3 linked regions of the Arabidopsis thaliana genome follow. The protein of the gene in region 1 interacts with the protein of each later gene in a biochemical or structural test. Each region holds a gene or a part of one and is shown on either strand. Other genes may lie near its edges.

Evidence for each region. Proteins that work in one complex are often made in the same cells at the same time.
Region 2: of the proteins of MPK6 (region 1) and MYC2, one has a biochemical effect on the other in vitro, tested with the Arabidopsis thaliana proteins (2 studies listed by BioGRID, with this or other methods).
Region 3: the proteins of MPK6 (region 1) and BES1 form a complex in vitro, tested with the Arabidopsis thaliana proteins (one study listed by BioGRID).

Annotation. Positions count from the first base shown.
Region 1 is NC_003071.7:18,136,728-18,141,526, forward strand, and holds MPK6 (MAP kinase 6), read left to right. Parts: upstream 1-1,518; 5' UTR 1,519-1,749; coding exon 1,750-1,982; exon of another isoform or gene 1,983-2,203; coding exon 2,204-2,333; intron 2,334-2,782; coding exon 2,783-2,920; intron 2,921-3,011; coding exon 3,012-3,344; intron 3,345-3,424; coding exon 3,425-3,605; intron 3,606-3,793; coding exon 3,794-3,966; 3' UTR 3,967-4,261; downstream 4,262-4,799. Other genes in the region: AT2G43780 (cytochrome oxidase assembly protein), read right to left, coding at 265-324; AT2G43795 (corepressor), read right to left, coding at 4,408-4,615, 4,713-4,779. UniProt on the Arabidopsis thaliana protein: Mitogen-activated protein kinase (MAPK) which regulates abscisic acid (ABA) responses in a MAPKKK20-MKK5-MPK6 cascade involved in root growth (e.g. root cell division and elongation) and stomatal response.
Region 2 is NC_003070.9:11,797,574-11,803,169, reverse strand, and holds MYC2 (Basic helix-loop-helix (bHLH) DNA-binding family protein), read left to right. Parts: upstream 1-1,762; 5' UTR 1,763-2,256; coding exon 2,257-4,128; 3' UTR 4,129-4,826; downstream 4,827-5,596. Other genes in the region: AT1G32630 (FAM50A-like protein), read right to left, coding at 4,827-5,228.
Region 3 is NC_003070.9:6,686,609-6,690,956, forward strand, and holds BES1 (Brassinosteroid signaling positive regulator (BZR1) family protein), read left to right. Parts: upstream 1-1,926; 5' UTR 1,927-2,071; coding exon 2,072-2,130; exon of another isoform or gene 2,131-2,225; coding exon 2,226-2,496; intron 2,497-2,813; coding exon 2,814-3,557; 3' UTR 3,558-3,803; downstream 3,804-4,348. Other genes in the region: AT1G19340 (Methyltransferase MT-A70 family protein), read left to right, coding at 51-190; RRA3 (Nucleotide-diphospho-sugar transferase family protein), read right to left, coding at 4,064-4,348. UniProt on the Arabidopsis thaliana protein: Positive regulator of brassinosteroid (BR) signaling. Transcription factor that activates target gene expression by binding specifically to the DNA sequence 5'-CANNTG-3'(E box) through its N-terminal domain.

The DNA of each region.
Region 1 (4,799 bases):
GTTATATCTTCAATATCACAGTTTCATAAATACTAAGATGAGGAATAACAAGAGAGAACTCTGAAGCATGATATAACAACTTTTGATTACTCTTTTTAACATTGCAGAAGTGACTCCAGAAGCCCTGAGGCATCGCAGGACATTGACATATTGTTCATATAGTGAAAAACAGATTACACAGATTGAATACGACGAATTTTCGAATTGTTATACTTATACCTCATCCTAAGAACTACTACGCCAAGAGTAAGTGATAGTACTCACAACGAGATCAAAGATGAGTACAATCATGGTATGAATGAACAACTGAAAGTTGCAAAACATTTCAGCAAAATAGAACTTTCTTCTGCATCATAATGGAAACGGAGAGAAAATCAATTGGTCACATTCATGCCCATCAGTCTAACATAATTGTCCACAAAATCAGCGCACTTCCCTTTAACGAGTCAATCAACCATAAATCATCAACCAAAGCAAAAATAAAGGCAATTAGAAACCTAACTCTACATCTATACATCCAAAGCTAACATCTTTTAAACGCAGGCTACTGTTACTCAACCAAAGTTCTCAAAACCAGATCAAAATGTCAAAATGAAAGGAGAGCAGAAAATATCAATCAAAAATTGGTTCTTTAAGCAAATTACTCCAAAGTCCACAAAATTAAAATGGAATCGAAAGGAACCTGGTGATGAAGGTTTGATGATCACTCGAAAATCCGAAAGATACAACAAAGCTGATATTTTTTTCTTCTACAGAGAATCGTGCCTAAATGCGACAGAAGCCTAAAGTTTCCCTATTTAGTTGACAACTGGTTCGGTGACGCTTAGTGTCGTGGCCACTTACCAATCTATCGAAAACCCTAAACCCAGTAAGAGCTCTCGTGTGAAAGAGGGATAGAGGCAGAAAGCAAGCCGTCTCGAGTTCGAACCCAACTGTATAACACAAGAGAAGAGATTTATTGCTTCATTATGTAAAAAATATTGAGATGATCCTTGTAATTTTGGAATATTATCAAATTGAACCACCATACTTTTTAAAAATCCAAATAACCCTCAACCAAGCATGTTTCATGTTGTGGCCTCATTCACACTATACGACTATCAAGTTCATCGAAATTCTTGATAGAGAACTTTAAATACTTAAATAGTTAATTTAGATACTATCTAATAACTTTTGGCGGTTTATAAGTTTTTGTGTTTTTCAATCTACATAAAATTTAGCGATTTTTCATGTTACAAAAATAATCTCAAAATTAAAGTACAACCCAAAAACATAATATCAATGATAATAACTACATTTATCTATGATTCATTTTCACCCAACATTTACATTCAAAAAAATGCTGTTGTTACTTGTTAATGATAACGATTAAGGAAGGAAGTCAATGGAACAAAAAAAAAAATGGTGATAAGTCAATGTAAAACGATGCCGTTTGTAACCATAACAGTGTTAAACATGAGAATAAAGGATCAAACTTTGAACAGTGGCTTGCTTGCTTGCTTACACACACGGGTCAAGTGAAGACCCAAAAAAAAATAAAAAAATTAATAGATCCGTACGCACATGACTTTCACTTCTTGTCTCTCAGATCTGTTTTGACCCCAAAACCAACGAATATCAATTTCTCCAATTTCATTCATAATTCACTCACCCCAAAATTACAAAAAAAAAAAAAAAAAAAGATTTTCCATTTCCCTCTTCTCGATCCACCACCACCACCAACCTCAAAAGCTTTCATCTTTACCGGTCATGGACGGTGGTTCAGGTCAACCGGCGGCTGATACAGAGATGACAGAAGCTCCTGGAGGTTTTCCCGCGGCGGCTCCATCGCCTCAGATGCCTGGGATTGAGAATATTCCGGCGACTCTTAGCCATGGTGGTAGGTTTATTCAGTATAACATATTTGGAAACATCTTCGAGGTCACCGCTAAGTATAAGCCTCCGATCATGCCTATTGGCAAGGGTGCTTATGGCATCGTTTGGTAATTTTTCTCCGATTCTTTTGATTTTTGGCTTTTGCTTCTAATTGAAATAAAAAATGATTTTTGTTGATTGGGTTTTGGTAAAGTTGGTTACTTTTGATCCGCAATTTGTAAAATTGATTCCTTTGTATCGTTTTTGAGCTCTAATTATGATTGGGATTTATTTTTGTTTCAATGAAAGCTTTATCCTTTTGTGGTTTTATTTGATTTTGATTTTGCAGTTCGGCTATGAATTCTGAAACTAACGAGAGCGTTGCGATTAAGAAAATTGCTAACGCTTTTGACAATAAGATTGATGCTAAGAGGACTCTCCGTGAGATCAAGCTGCTTCGTCACATGGATCATGAAAATGTCAGTTTTTGCTCTTTCTTTGTTAACTAAGAGTCATCTGTTTATAGAGTCTTATGTAGAACATAATAGGATTGTAGATTTAAATACACTCGAAACATGGTAACTACTAGCTGATGCAAAATTGTTTAGGTAAATAGATGATGTATATATTTGATTGATATTGTATGGGCTGATTAGGTTCTGTGTATGAATGTGTTGTATCTGGTGGTTGCTTATTGCATTTAGATTTAAGGGAATATACATGAATGTTGACACAGTGTGCTTGTATTTTTTTCGGTTTGATACGGATTGTTTCGCGCTTATTCAGTAGTATGATCTTTTCCATCTGCGTCAAGATTTTAAATTCTAGAAATCAAATCGTAAAATGTAACCGTTTATCTATGTTGGCGTTTGCAACGTGTAAAACATTTCCGATTGATAAAACACTTACCATCTTTCTGTTAAATCAGATTGTTGCAATCAGAGATATTATCCCGCCACCATTAAGAAACGCTTTCAACGATGTTTACATCGCGTATGAGTTAATGGACACTGATCTCCATCAAATCATTCGGTCAAATCAAGCATTATCCGAAGAACATTGCCAGGTTTTGAGTTTTGAGATTGTTTGTTGACCTATATAACTCGACTTGAAAACGGGGACTAATTGAACTCCATTTCACTTGTCTCTTTGTGCAGTATTTTCTTTACCAGATCCTCCGTGGATTGAAATACATTCACTCTGCAAATGTGCTTCACAGGGATTTGAAACCAAGTAATCTCCTCCTGAACGCAAACTGCGACCTAAAAATCTGCGATTTTGGGCTAGCTCGAGTCACTTCTGAGAGTGATTTCATGACTGAATATGTTGTCACGAGATGGTACCGTGCACCAGAGCTTCTCTTAAACTCTTCTGATTATACTGCAGCTATCGATGTTTGGTCTGTAGGCTGTATTTTCATGGAGTTAATGGACCGTAAGCCACTCTTCCCTGGACGAGATCATGTCCATCAGCTTCGCTTGCTCATGGAGGTAAGTAGTAACCCTTCTTTGACCCAAAAATAAGCTTTGAAGCACTAAAGAAACAGACCGAGACCATTTTCTTTTTGCAGCTCATAGGAACTCCATCAGAAGAAGAGCTCGAGTTCTTGAACGAAAACGCAAAGCGATACATAAGACAGCTTCCACCTTATCCTCGCCAATCCATCACTGATAAGTTCCCGACAGTGCATCCTTTAGCTATAGACCTTATCGAGAAGATGTTAACATTTGATCCTAGACGGAGAATCACAGGTTAGTCCCTAACCTCTATACCATTTTTAACTTGCAAAATAACTGGAATTGCTTGTACGGATCATTCCAAAATCCCGAAAAAAGATTCAATCTAGTGAAGGAATAATAATAATGAGTTCTTGGTTATTTAAGAGTTAGTTAGTAGTCATCACCTCTTATTGATTCTTGATTCTCGATTCTTGATTCAGTTTTAGACGCATTGGCCCATCCATACCTGAACTCGTTGCACGACATAAGCGATGAGCCAGAGTGTACAATACCTTTCAACTTTGATTTTGAAAACCATGCACTCTCAGAGGAGCAGATGAAGGAACTAATCTACCGCGAGGCGCTTGCTTTCAATCCAGAATATCAGCAATAGTTTGAAGAACAGCATTTGGGAGATGAAGATGAGATAAGGGTTTGGCGTTATTTGGTTTGGACAACATTCTTAAAAGGAGGAAAGATCATTGTTTGTCTTTTGTGTATACTTGTGAGAGATGTTGAAGGGGATGGGTCTCAAACTTTATATTTCAGTCTTTTGGATAATTTGTTCTCTCTGTTTTTTTTTTTCCTATTCGTATTTGTAATTTGCCCTCATTTTGTTGTTGCAGTTATTTAAGACTTAAATTGTCTCAGAAATAGTTATGTTATGATAGCCCACCTTCAATTCCTCTACAAAATACTTGCCATTACTGTCAGCTTTCTTGTTTTATAAAACAGCAGGGAGAGAAATATTGCAGGGAGATGAGGATAGTACAAATCATGTCCTCGGGGTGAAAATTGAGCATTTGATGAACACAATCTCAAGTCTTGCACTGTGTCAACTCTTAAGACTGCCAAAGAATTTTGATTGTGGTGCAGGACCATCAGCCTCATCTTTACTTTGGTTTTGAGTGTCTGCCTCTAGACTTGTGTTTCCTCTCCCTCTTTGGCCTCTTAGAACTTGACCTTGACTTCCTAGATTCGTCTTTGTCACTACTTGAAGATTCAGAAGATGAGCTTGAGTCTGATGATCGCCTTTTCGAATGCTGCAAATCAATAAACACAATGTAAGCTAAAAGCTTCAAGCCAACAGAATTATAGAAGATGTTCAAACTAAACTCGATGCAGTTGTTATGTAAGCACCTTTCTCTTTTTGCTTTTCTTCCTCTTGGAATCTCTGCACTTTCTATCTGTGAGCTCTCTCTCCTTCCTATCTGTAAGATCAAATGG
Region 2 (5,596 bases), on another chromosome or scaffold:
TTCCTAAAAAGTAAGCGAATCCAAAATTGTATGTAAATTTATATACATATGTATATATATGAACATATGTTATTATAATTATGAATAAATTATTGCTACTTAGGAACTCAATCAACAAAAGATACATAGATTGAGGCGCTTCTACAAGGTCATCCTAGTCACTTATTAACCTAACATATGTAACACATTGTATAAGCTATTCGAGCATGCCAAATCAATCAAGATCATTATATCATGTTCGACGATCTATCGAAAGTGTACACCAATTGATGATTCTCTATTTCTCTAAATCTAAGAATAACTCGAATTGGTCACATACAAATTTGGATCAGGTAACAGATATATTTTTATTTCATGCAGTTAGGAAATAACATATGGGAAATTTATATCTTACGTTCCACATTGTTCCCGAATCCCGACTAATGTCCCTCTCTTTCAACAAGGTGATAGTAAGATCTTCATTTAATCAACCCGACTCTCTACTTAAAAAATTTCAACCATTTTCTCTAAGAAGTCAGAACACTCCATCATCCCCATTCTAAGCTCAACATAACAACATAACAAGAAAACTGTCATCTTTGTTATCTCATTTCTCGAAGTAAGGGGGGAAATCTCTATATTTATCCCACTAATTATTCATTACTTAGTGGGATATTGTTGTTTTCTAGTGGCGTCACCCCCAAAGTCGACATGAAATATGATATCACGAATCACCTAGCCAAAACTTAGTGTAACATCTTCTCATAATTTTCTTATAGTAAACATGTTCAAAAGTCGACTCACAACCACCAGACAATGGTTTGGTTGTTTTCTGTTTGTTGAATCGTTCATTGACGAGTTCACCCAATACAGATGTCTCAGAAAATTATATTCAAAAGTTATTTTGGTTGTTATTTACAAAAAATGGTATACTAGATCCCAAAATTATTTTACTATTTATTGTTGGTAAAATACTCTTTAGTTTAATATGGTTTTAATAAGAAAAATCAACCGGAGTATCATTAATCTGAACGTATAAAGACATATCATTGAGTTTATCACAAGACAACGTAAATCTACAAGAACACAATAACATAAGTTTAGTGTTTTGTTAGTAAGAATTTGTCTTCGCAAGATAGAATTTTAGAAGTATATATATATATATATATATATACTATTTTATCTTAATTCTTTTTGTTTTATTTTTGGTTTTTAGGTAAGGGTTAGGAGTAATGGGACCATATTGGTGGCATGCTAAATTATTGTGATAAATTTATGCATGGAGGAAAAGATGCCAAATGATTTATGTTATTCACTCATACTCACCTAATGACCTAATCCTTGAATTATTGTTCGAACTTTAAAAATAAAATTTTAATATTGTAAATTAAACAAACAATATAACGTTGTTAGCATGTGTTTATCGTGAAATGTGAATGTAACTAAAAATATTATAAAGGAGTTCTTCCTTTCTTAAAGCATATGCTAATAATAGCGTTTGGTCAAATTAATAAATTATTAGTTTATTTAGTCGTCAACAAATTAATTAGTTAAGCAGACAAGAATCGTTTTTGGAGATAGAGATTCTCACTTGCATTTCACTCTCTTGCAATTTAACATATTAAGACAAACACAAATTTTTGCTTTAGTGAATTATTAGCAACGACTCACGTTATATAGATATGCAAATCTCAAAATTAATTAAGCTAAGACACAGTATTTGATAATTGAGATTACAAATCTTAAATTTTGATTTTTAATATTTTAAAATAACATTATAAAATAAGTAATTAATCTGTTATAAAAAATATATTCTAAAAGTTGACAAAACGACAAATATAAATCGAAAAAATAGGTGAAAAGTTATAGTAAAGTGTTTTTCCACTGAGCTCACAGTTCACTCTTTGGTACAAAAGAAACAATCAGTTAAAATCTAAGTCAATCATTAAAGAGCGTGTGATACACGTGCGACCAAACAGCCGTACGATCTCACTCACTTCCGGTCTTAATTCTTACCGCGTCGATCCAACAGTCGATGGGGTTAAATCGGGATGTGAGTTCATCGAAGCTTCTCTCTCTCTTACAACCATCCACGTTTCCCAATGAAATCTCGCCACGTAATATCCCTAACAACAAATTTACACATTCACCCTCAAGATCAGTTACACATATAATAATCGCAGACGCTCTCCATTTTTCTCCACTACGAAGACTTTCTCCTATCTCTCTCTCTCTCATTAAAAACGTGTTTTTTTTTACCGGTCACCGGTTTATGGAATGACTGATTACCGGCTACAACCAACGATGAATCTTTGGACCACCGACGACAACGCTTCTATGATGGAAGCTTTCATGAGCTCTTCCGATATCTCAACTTTATGGCCTCCGGCGTCGACGACAACCACGACGGCGACGACTGAAACAACTCCGACGCCGGCGATGGAGATTCCGGCACAGGCGGGATTTAATCAAGAGACTCTTCAGCAACGTTTACAAGCTTTGATTGAAGGAACACACGAAGGTTGGACCTACGCTATATTCTGGCAACCGTCGTATGATTTCTCCGGCGCCTCCGTGCTCGGATGGGGAGATGGTTATTACAAAGGTGAAGAAGATAAAGCAAACCCGAGACGGAGATCGAGTTCGCCGCCGTTTTCTACTCCGGCGGATCAGGAGTACAGGAAAAAAGTGTTGAGAGAGCTTAACTCGTTGATCTCCGGTGGTGTTGCTCCGTCGGATGACGCTGTTGATGAGGAGGTGACGGATACGGAATGGTTTTTCTTGGTTTCGATGACGCAGAGCTTCGCTTGCGGTGCGGGATTAGCTGGTAAAGCGTTTGCAACGGGTAACGCGGTTTGGGTTTCCGGGTCAGATCAATTATCCGGGTCGGGTTGTGAACGGGCTAAGCAAGGAGGAGTGTTTGGGATGCATACTATTGCGTGTATTCCTTCGGCGAACGGAGTTGTGGAAGTCGGGTCAACGGAGCCGATCCGACAGAGTTCGGACCTTATTAACAAGGTTCGAATTCTTTTCAATTTCGACGGCGGAGCTGGAGATTTATCGGGTCTTAATTGGAATCTTGACCCGGATCAAGGTGAGAACGACCCGTCTATGTGGATTAATGACCCGATTGGAACACCTGGATCTAACGAACCGGGTAACGGAGCTCCAAGTTCTAGCTCCCAGCTTTTTTCAAAGTCTATTCAGTTTGAGAACGGTAGCTCAAGCACAATAACCGAAAACCCGAATCTGGATCCGACTCCGAGTCCGGTTCATTCTCAGACCCAGAATCCGAAATTCAATAACACTTTCTCCCGAGAACTTAATTTTTCGACGTCAAGTTCTACTTTAGTGAAACCAAGATCCGGCGAGATATTAAACTTCGGCGATGAAGGTAAACGAAGCTCCGGAAACCCGGATCCAAGTTCTTATTCGGGTCAAACACAATTCGAAAACAAAAGAAAGAGGTCGATGGTTTTGAACGAAGATAAAGTTCTATCATTCGGAGATAAAACCGCCGGAGAATCAGATCACTCCGATCTAGAAGCTTCCGTCGTGAAAGAAGTAGCAGTAGAGAAACGTCCAAAGAAACGAGGAAGAAAGCCAGCAAACGGTAGAGAAGAGCCACTAAACCACGTCGAAGCAGAGAGACAAAGACGCGAGAAACTAAACCAAAGATTCTACGCGTTACGAGCGGTTGTACCAAACGTTTCAAAAATGGATAAAGCTTCGTTACTCGGTGACGCAATCGCTTACATCAACGAGCTTAAATCCAAAGTAGTCAAAACAGAGTCAGAGAAACTCCAAATCAAGAACCAGCTCGAGGAAGTGAAACTCGAGCTCGCCGGAAGAAAAGCGAGTGCTAGTGGAGGAGATATGTCGTCTTCGTGTTCTTCGATTAAACCGGTGGGGATGGAGATTGAAGTGAAGATAATTGGTTGGGACGCAATGATTAGAGTTGAATCTAGTAAGAGGAATCATCCGGCGGCGAGGTTGATGTCGGCGTTGATGGATTTGGAGTTGGAAGTGAATCACGCGAGTATGTCGGTGGTTAACGATTTGATGATTCAACAAGCGACGGTGAAGATGGGTTTTAGGATCTATACGCAAGAACAGCTCAGAGCAAGTTTGATTTCAAAAATCGGTTAAAAGGGTGTGTTTTGGGAAGTTTAGAAAGTTATGGGGTCAAATCATAATTAATTCGTTTTAGTGGCTTCAGTAATTTTGTAGATTTTAGTTTTGTAAGAAAAAAATCTTAAAATAGAGCGACAAGTTTCTTCTTTTGCTCTATGTTTGAGTCTGTATCGTTTTATTGTTGTATCTCCTCAATGAGTAAACTTGTATATATTGATATGAGTAATATGAGTTAGTTACTGAAAAAGTTAATATTTCTACACAATTTCATATGATAAAAAAGAAAAAGAAATCGAGTATAAATGGTCTAAAATAAGAGACTAATGGTCATGATCACTGATTTTGTACATATGGTCAAAAATGTCTCTCCTAACACATCAAACTTAGGAAGAGAGACAAATCTTAAGTAAGTTAAGTCGAGAGGGAGACCATATGCACAGTTTTCTTAAGTCAGTGTGATAATGTTTCCTCTTGTCTAATCAATAAGACACAACACACATAAACCTTAGTATAATACTACATGGATCTTCGAATACACAGACAGAGTCACAGACAAGAAAAAGCAAATCACTTGCTTTTGTCTTGATCATTTCCAATATCTACAAAAATAGAAATCTTGAAGAGATTATTGAATCTGAAATCTGCTTTGTTTGTGCATTCTCTTCCTCGATCACCTCGCAAGATCCTCTAGCAACCTGACCAATCCTCAAGAATCAAGTTTTCTTCTTTCTAGCTTCAGCTTTCCAATCTCGACGATGCGGCCTTATCTTCCGTTTAACCGACTCACAAGAACTATCTTGAGCCTTGTTCATAATCAAATGAGCTCTTCTAGCTTCTTTTTTCCAATTTCTATCGCAATAAACCCGCCGCACAAAGTTCTCAACATAACCACTAGGTCCATTAAACTCTAGTCCCTCGTCTTCTTCTTCTTCTTCTTCTTGTTTTCCCATTGTCTCAAACGAAAGATTATCATCGTTACCCGCTTCTTCTTCCCGCATCCGTTTCCTGGCTCGATACCTACGTTGTCTTTCTCTGTTCTTCATTCGACGGATCATGACTTCATCTTTGTCTATCAACCCTTCTTTCTCATCAATGCTCAAACCACCATTGCTCATCTTTCCTTCAATTCCAATTACTCAAAACACTGATAAAACAAACCAAATTCTATTATAAGGTAATGCATTTAAAGGAAAGAATCTAAAGCTCTATAAAACCCTAGAAGCTTCTTAATTCAAAAGCTGAAGACACAAAACACACACAAATGTAATTTTGCAACTAGAGGAGGACCAAATTAGAGATTCGTTAATAGCAATCAACCAGAAATGTAAGACTTCCAAAGAATCAAAATTAGCTAATCGATACAACTAAAAATGTTATTTTGCTTTGCTTTCAAGTTGAGAAAACAGAGAAGTTCGATACTCAAAGAACCTGAATGATTAATTCGATGATTAGGTTAAGAGGCTAAAACCCATATATTACCAAT
Region 3 (4,348 bases), on another chromosome or scaffold:
GGTCTAAAGCTCCCCTGATTCTTGTTTGTTTCCACTTGGACTTTGTGTAGATATACTACTGAAACACACTCCCGGGTCTCAACCTGCTCGGTGCCTTGAGCTATTTGCGAGGGAAATGGCTGCCGGATGGACCTCTTGGGGAAACGAACCGCTTCACTTTCAGGACTCGAGATACTTTTTGAAAGTTTAGTGGGCGCATTCCCTAGGGTGTAACCAAGAAAAAGGCTGGCTTGGGCCCTCATGATCGTTTTTCTCTATGACTCATTCTCAAGCTGGGGACAGTTAGGAGAGAACCCTTGGAAAGAAGTGGAAGGTTCGGTTCATCGCAAACGACATCGTTTGAAGAAGACAACACTAGAGTAAGCCTGAAAAAAGTATAGTGTTACTAAAGATTATTTTGTCTCAGAACTGTACCATCAATTTAGTAAGCTTTTTCCTTTTCCTTTCATAAACAGATGATGTTTCAGATAAAATTTAAATATATTATCAGTACAGTAAGATTACATACTATATTAGTATCACTATTCTGCTATTCACTAGATTTCTTTTTCTTTTTCAACAAAATATGAATAAAATAAAGGCAAAAGCGTGTTAAATATAAATTCAATAAGTGACTACTCGTTGGAAGATCATATCTGCTTTGATGGGTCTATTTGTGGGGCAAATCCACTATCCAGTTTTCCTTTTGTGTTCAATGAACTATACAATTGTCAAAAAAAAAAAAACATGAGAATTAAAGAAAATCATCATGACCAATGAAGAGCAGGTCCCAACAATAATTCCGAATTATAGGCTCTGATTGTTATAGCAATCAAACAATATGCTTACAAATCACAAAACAAAATTAACGATATTTCCAAATATAGAGCTTTCCAGTTTGACTTAATAATGTTGTGTGAATATCCTCACATTTCCATTTTCGACTCTCTTTAGTAAATTTTGAAGTAGTAGAATGATGTAGAATGTTTTGTTTTATCAATCACACAGTTTTGTGAAATCACGATTTCCATCCACTATTCAAGAAAAACATCAAGTGGAAGAAATAATAAACCAAAACCATCGCAACAAAATGCATATCACGAGTATAGAATGAACAAACTACACTGTCAAATACTTAATTTAGGACTTAAACTTCGCTTTCAGACAACTTGGTTCGGAAACTTGACCATCCGTCATGTTGATATACACAATCCATCTCAAATGTAGTAGTGAATCACTATATCAGCATGTGTTATCAAACGCAAGTTGTCACTAAGATCGGAGCTTCTAGTTCAAAATGTTGATAAGTATTACGAAAGTACAATTGAATATACCAATTATACATCCAAACACGTCCATGCTTCTCCACTCGAGTTCTCTTTGGAAATCTATATAATCCGTCGGTTTGGTATTTTACTAGTTGTACGTAGTGTCTCCCCTCATATGTATTGAGTCTTTATAGTTTGTTGCCTCGTATACGATAGAAAGTAAAGGCTAAAAAACCATACTATTTCATAAAGGGTTTATTTAGTTAACTTTTAATCTAAACCATGTATCACTCCATTTTACGTATATTCGTTTTCACAAATAATCTACTAAATAATTTTGTAATGTGATAAAATTAAAGAATAAACACATGATACATAAACAGTCAGGACAAAAGTAAGCACTCATTTTCTTCTATTCATACTATAGTGAAACACTATTTTATTTTTATCCATATACTATAGTGACAAATTAATCTAATCATTAAATGTTATGAGGCTCAAAACAATTTGTTTTCTTATTTAACATGGCCGATCCCCTCATAAACCAATCAGATGGTGTGTTTTCCGGTCATACTCGTGTAGGACCCACTTCATTACAATGGCCCCACATGTCTCTCTATCTTTTTCTCCTCTTTATAAAATCAGCTCCTTTTCTTACACAGATTTAGAGAAACACAACATAAAACGTACTTCTTCTTCAAAACGCGAAACCACACTGTAAGTTACGTACACCACCACCTATCCTCACCATTCATCATCGACACGTGGCTGGTTTAACTCAAATCAACGGTGAATTCTTTTTGCTTTTTTATTTTAAATAATGAATGAAAAGATTCTTCTATAATTCCAGCGAAGAAGAAAGAAAAAAAAAAGCGTATTCCTCGTGAGCACTAACTTCTCACTCATTCTTCTTCTTCAGCTGAATCCAAATACCCATTTCCATTTTTAACCGTGGTTGGATTGTTTTGAGAGTTGAAGGAAGAAGATGACGTCTGACGGAGCAACGTCGACGTCAGCTGCAGCTGCAGCAGCAGCGATGGCGACGAGGAGGAAACCGTCGTGGAGAGAGAGGGAGAACAATCGGAGAAGAGAGCGGCGGAGAAGAGCTGTTGCGGCGAAGATTTATACTGGTCTTAGAGCTCAAGGTAACTACAATCTTCCAAAACATTGTGACAACAATGAGGTTCTTAAGGCTCTTTGTTCTGAAGCTGGTTGGGTTGTTGAAGAAGACGGAACTACTTATCGCAAGGTCAGTATCAAACGCATTTTTACTTAGATCTGATGTTATCTGATGATTTAGCTGTTGAATCTGAAGATTTGGATTTGAAATTGGTCAAATTGGGATTTTCTTGGCTATGAATTCGAGGTTTTTAGCTGAGGAAGCTCAGTTTTATTCTAAAATTGGATCGAGATTCCTTGCGGAGAAAGTGACCTTTAGGGTTCTTCTTACTAATTTGAGAACCGAATTAGCTTTACTTTCACTTGGTTACTATATTTAGATCTCTCCTTTAGCTTTTGATTGATTGTGACATTGTGATGTTTTTGGTATTGTTCTATGAGCAACAGGGACACAAGCCTCTACCTGGTGACATGGCTGGATCATCTTCTCGAGCAACTCCTTACTCTTCCCATAACCAAAGTCCTCTTTCTTCCACTTTTGATAGCCCCATCTTATCTTACCAAGTCAGTCCTTCCTCTTCTTCATTCCCGAGTCCTTCTCGAGTTGGTGATCCACACAATATCTCCACAATCTTCCCTTTCCTCAGGAATGGTGGTATTCCTTCATCGCTTCCTCCACTTAGAATCTCAAACAGTGCTCCTGTCACTCCACCAGTGTCATCCCCAACTTCTAGAAACCCCAAACCATTGCCTACTTGGGAATCTTTTACCAAACAATCCATGTCCATGGCTGCTAAACAGTCAATGACTTCTTTGAACTACCCGTTTTATGCGGTGTCTGCACCTGCCAGTCCTACTCATCATCGCCAGTTCCATGCTCCGGCTACTATACCTGAATGTGATGAGTCTGACTCTTCCACTGTTGATTCTGGTCATTGGATAAGCTTTCAAAAGTTTGCACAACAACAGCCATTCTCTGCCTCTATGGTGCCAACCTCGCCTACCTTCAATCTCGTGAAACCTGCACCACAGCAATTGTCTCCAAACACAGCAGCAATCCAAGAGATTGGTCAAAGCTCCGAGTTTAAGTTTGAGAACAGCCAAGTTAAGCCATGGGAAGGGGAGAGGATCCATGATGTGGCTATGGAGGATCTAGAGCTCACGCTTGGAAATGGTAAAGCTCATAGTTGAGATGAAGTATACATGAACCTGTTATGTCATGTCGGAAGGAAGGATTGGAGAATGAGAATTAGTGTGTTGTTCATTCAGTTCATGGTTTTGGTTCTTGTTCTAGAATCGATATTCATTGTACCAGTGAGTTTGTTTCACAACGCATTATTTGTAGATAGAATGTTTAAGATGTATGTTTCTATTATCATTCCTTTTAGGTCTTGAAAACATTACAAATATATTACATGATTAAGTGGCTTGAAATGTAAATTATATATCGGATGATGAAACAGAGAAAAACAAGTGAGGCTAAAACAAAGACTTGGGATGTAATAACAAGATCAGAGAGGTTAAGAAAGAAAAAAAAGACTTGCGATTTTAGCCATAAGATACACAAAAATTCATAATACAAAGAGGAAAGTAGAAGGCATGAAGCAGTAAACATTGGAAAAGGGAGAAATATATTAGAATCACAAATGTCAAGAAACTCGGAAAGTTTTTTTTAGCCTATCTGCTTTTCAGGTGAATCATTCAGAACCATCGGGGAAGCTATCAAGCGCGTCTTGCTTACCGTTAACGTAGAACTCAACGACGGCTTGCATTCTATTGAGCTTATCTGGATGGTAATTCACATGAACAATCACTGGTTTCACTTTCTTCTTCAGTTCATGATTCTTTCTTACAGTCTTGAAAAGGACCTTACTGTTCATAAACTCATACATATCCATGACTCTCTTGGATGCATGTAGCGCAGTGTACTCAGGATGTGAAGGATAAAACAGTTCCTCGTTGAAAACCGCTTGGTCCCACAC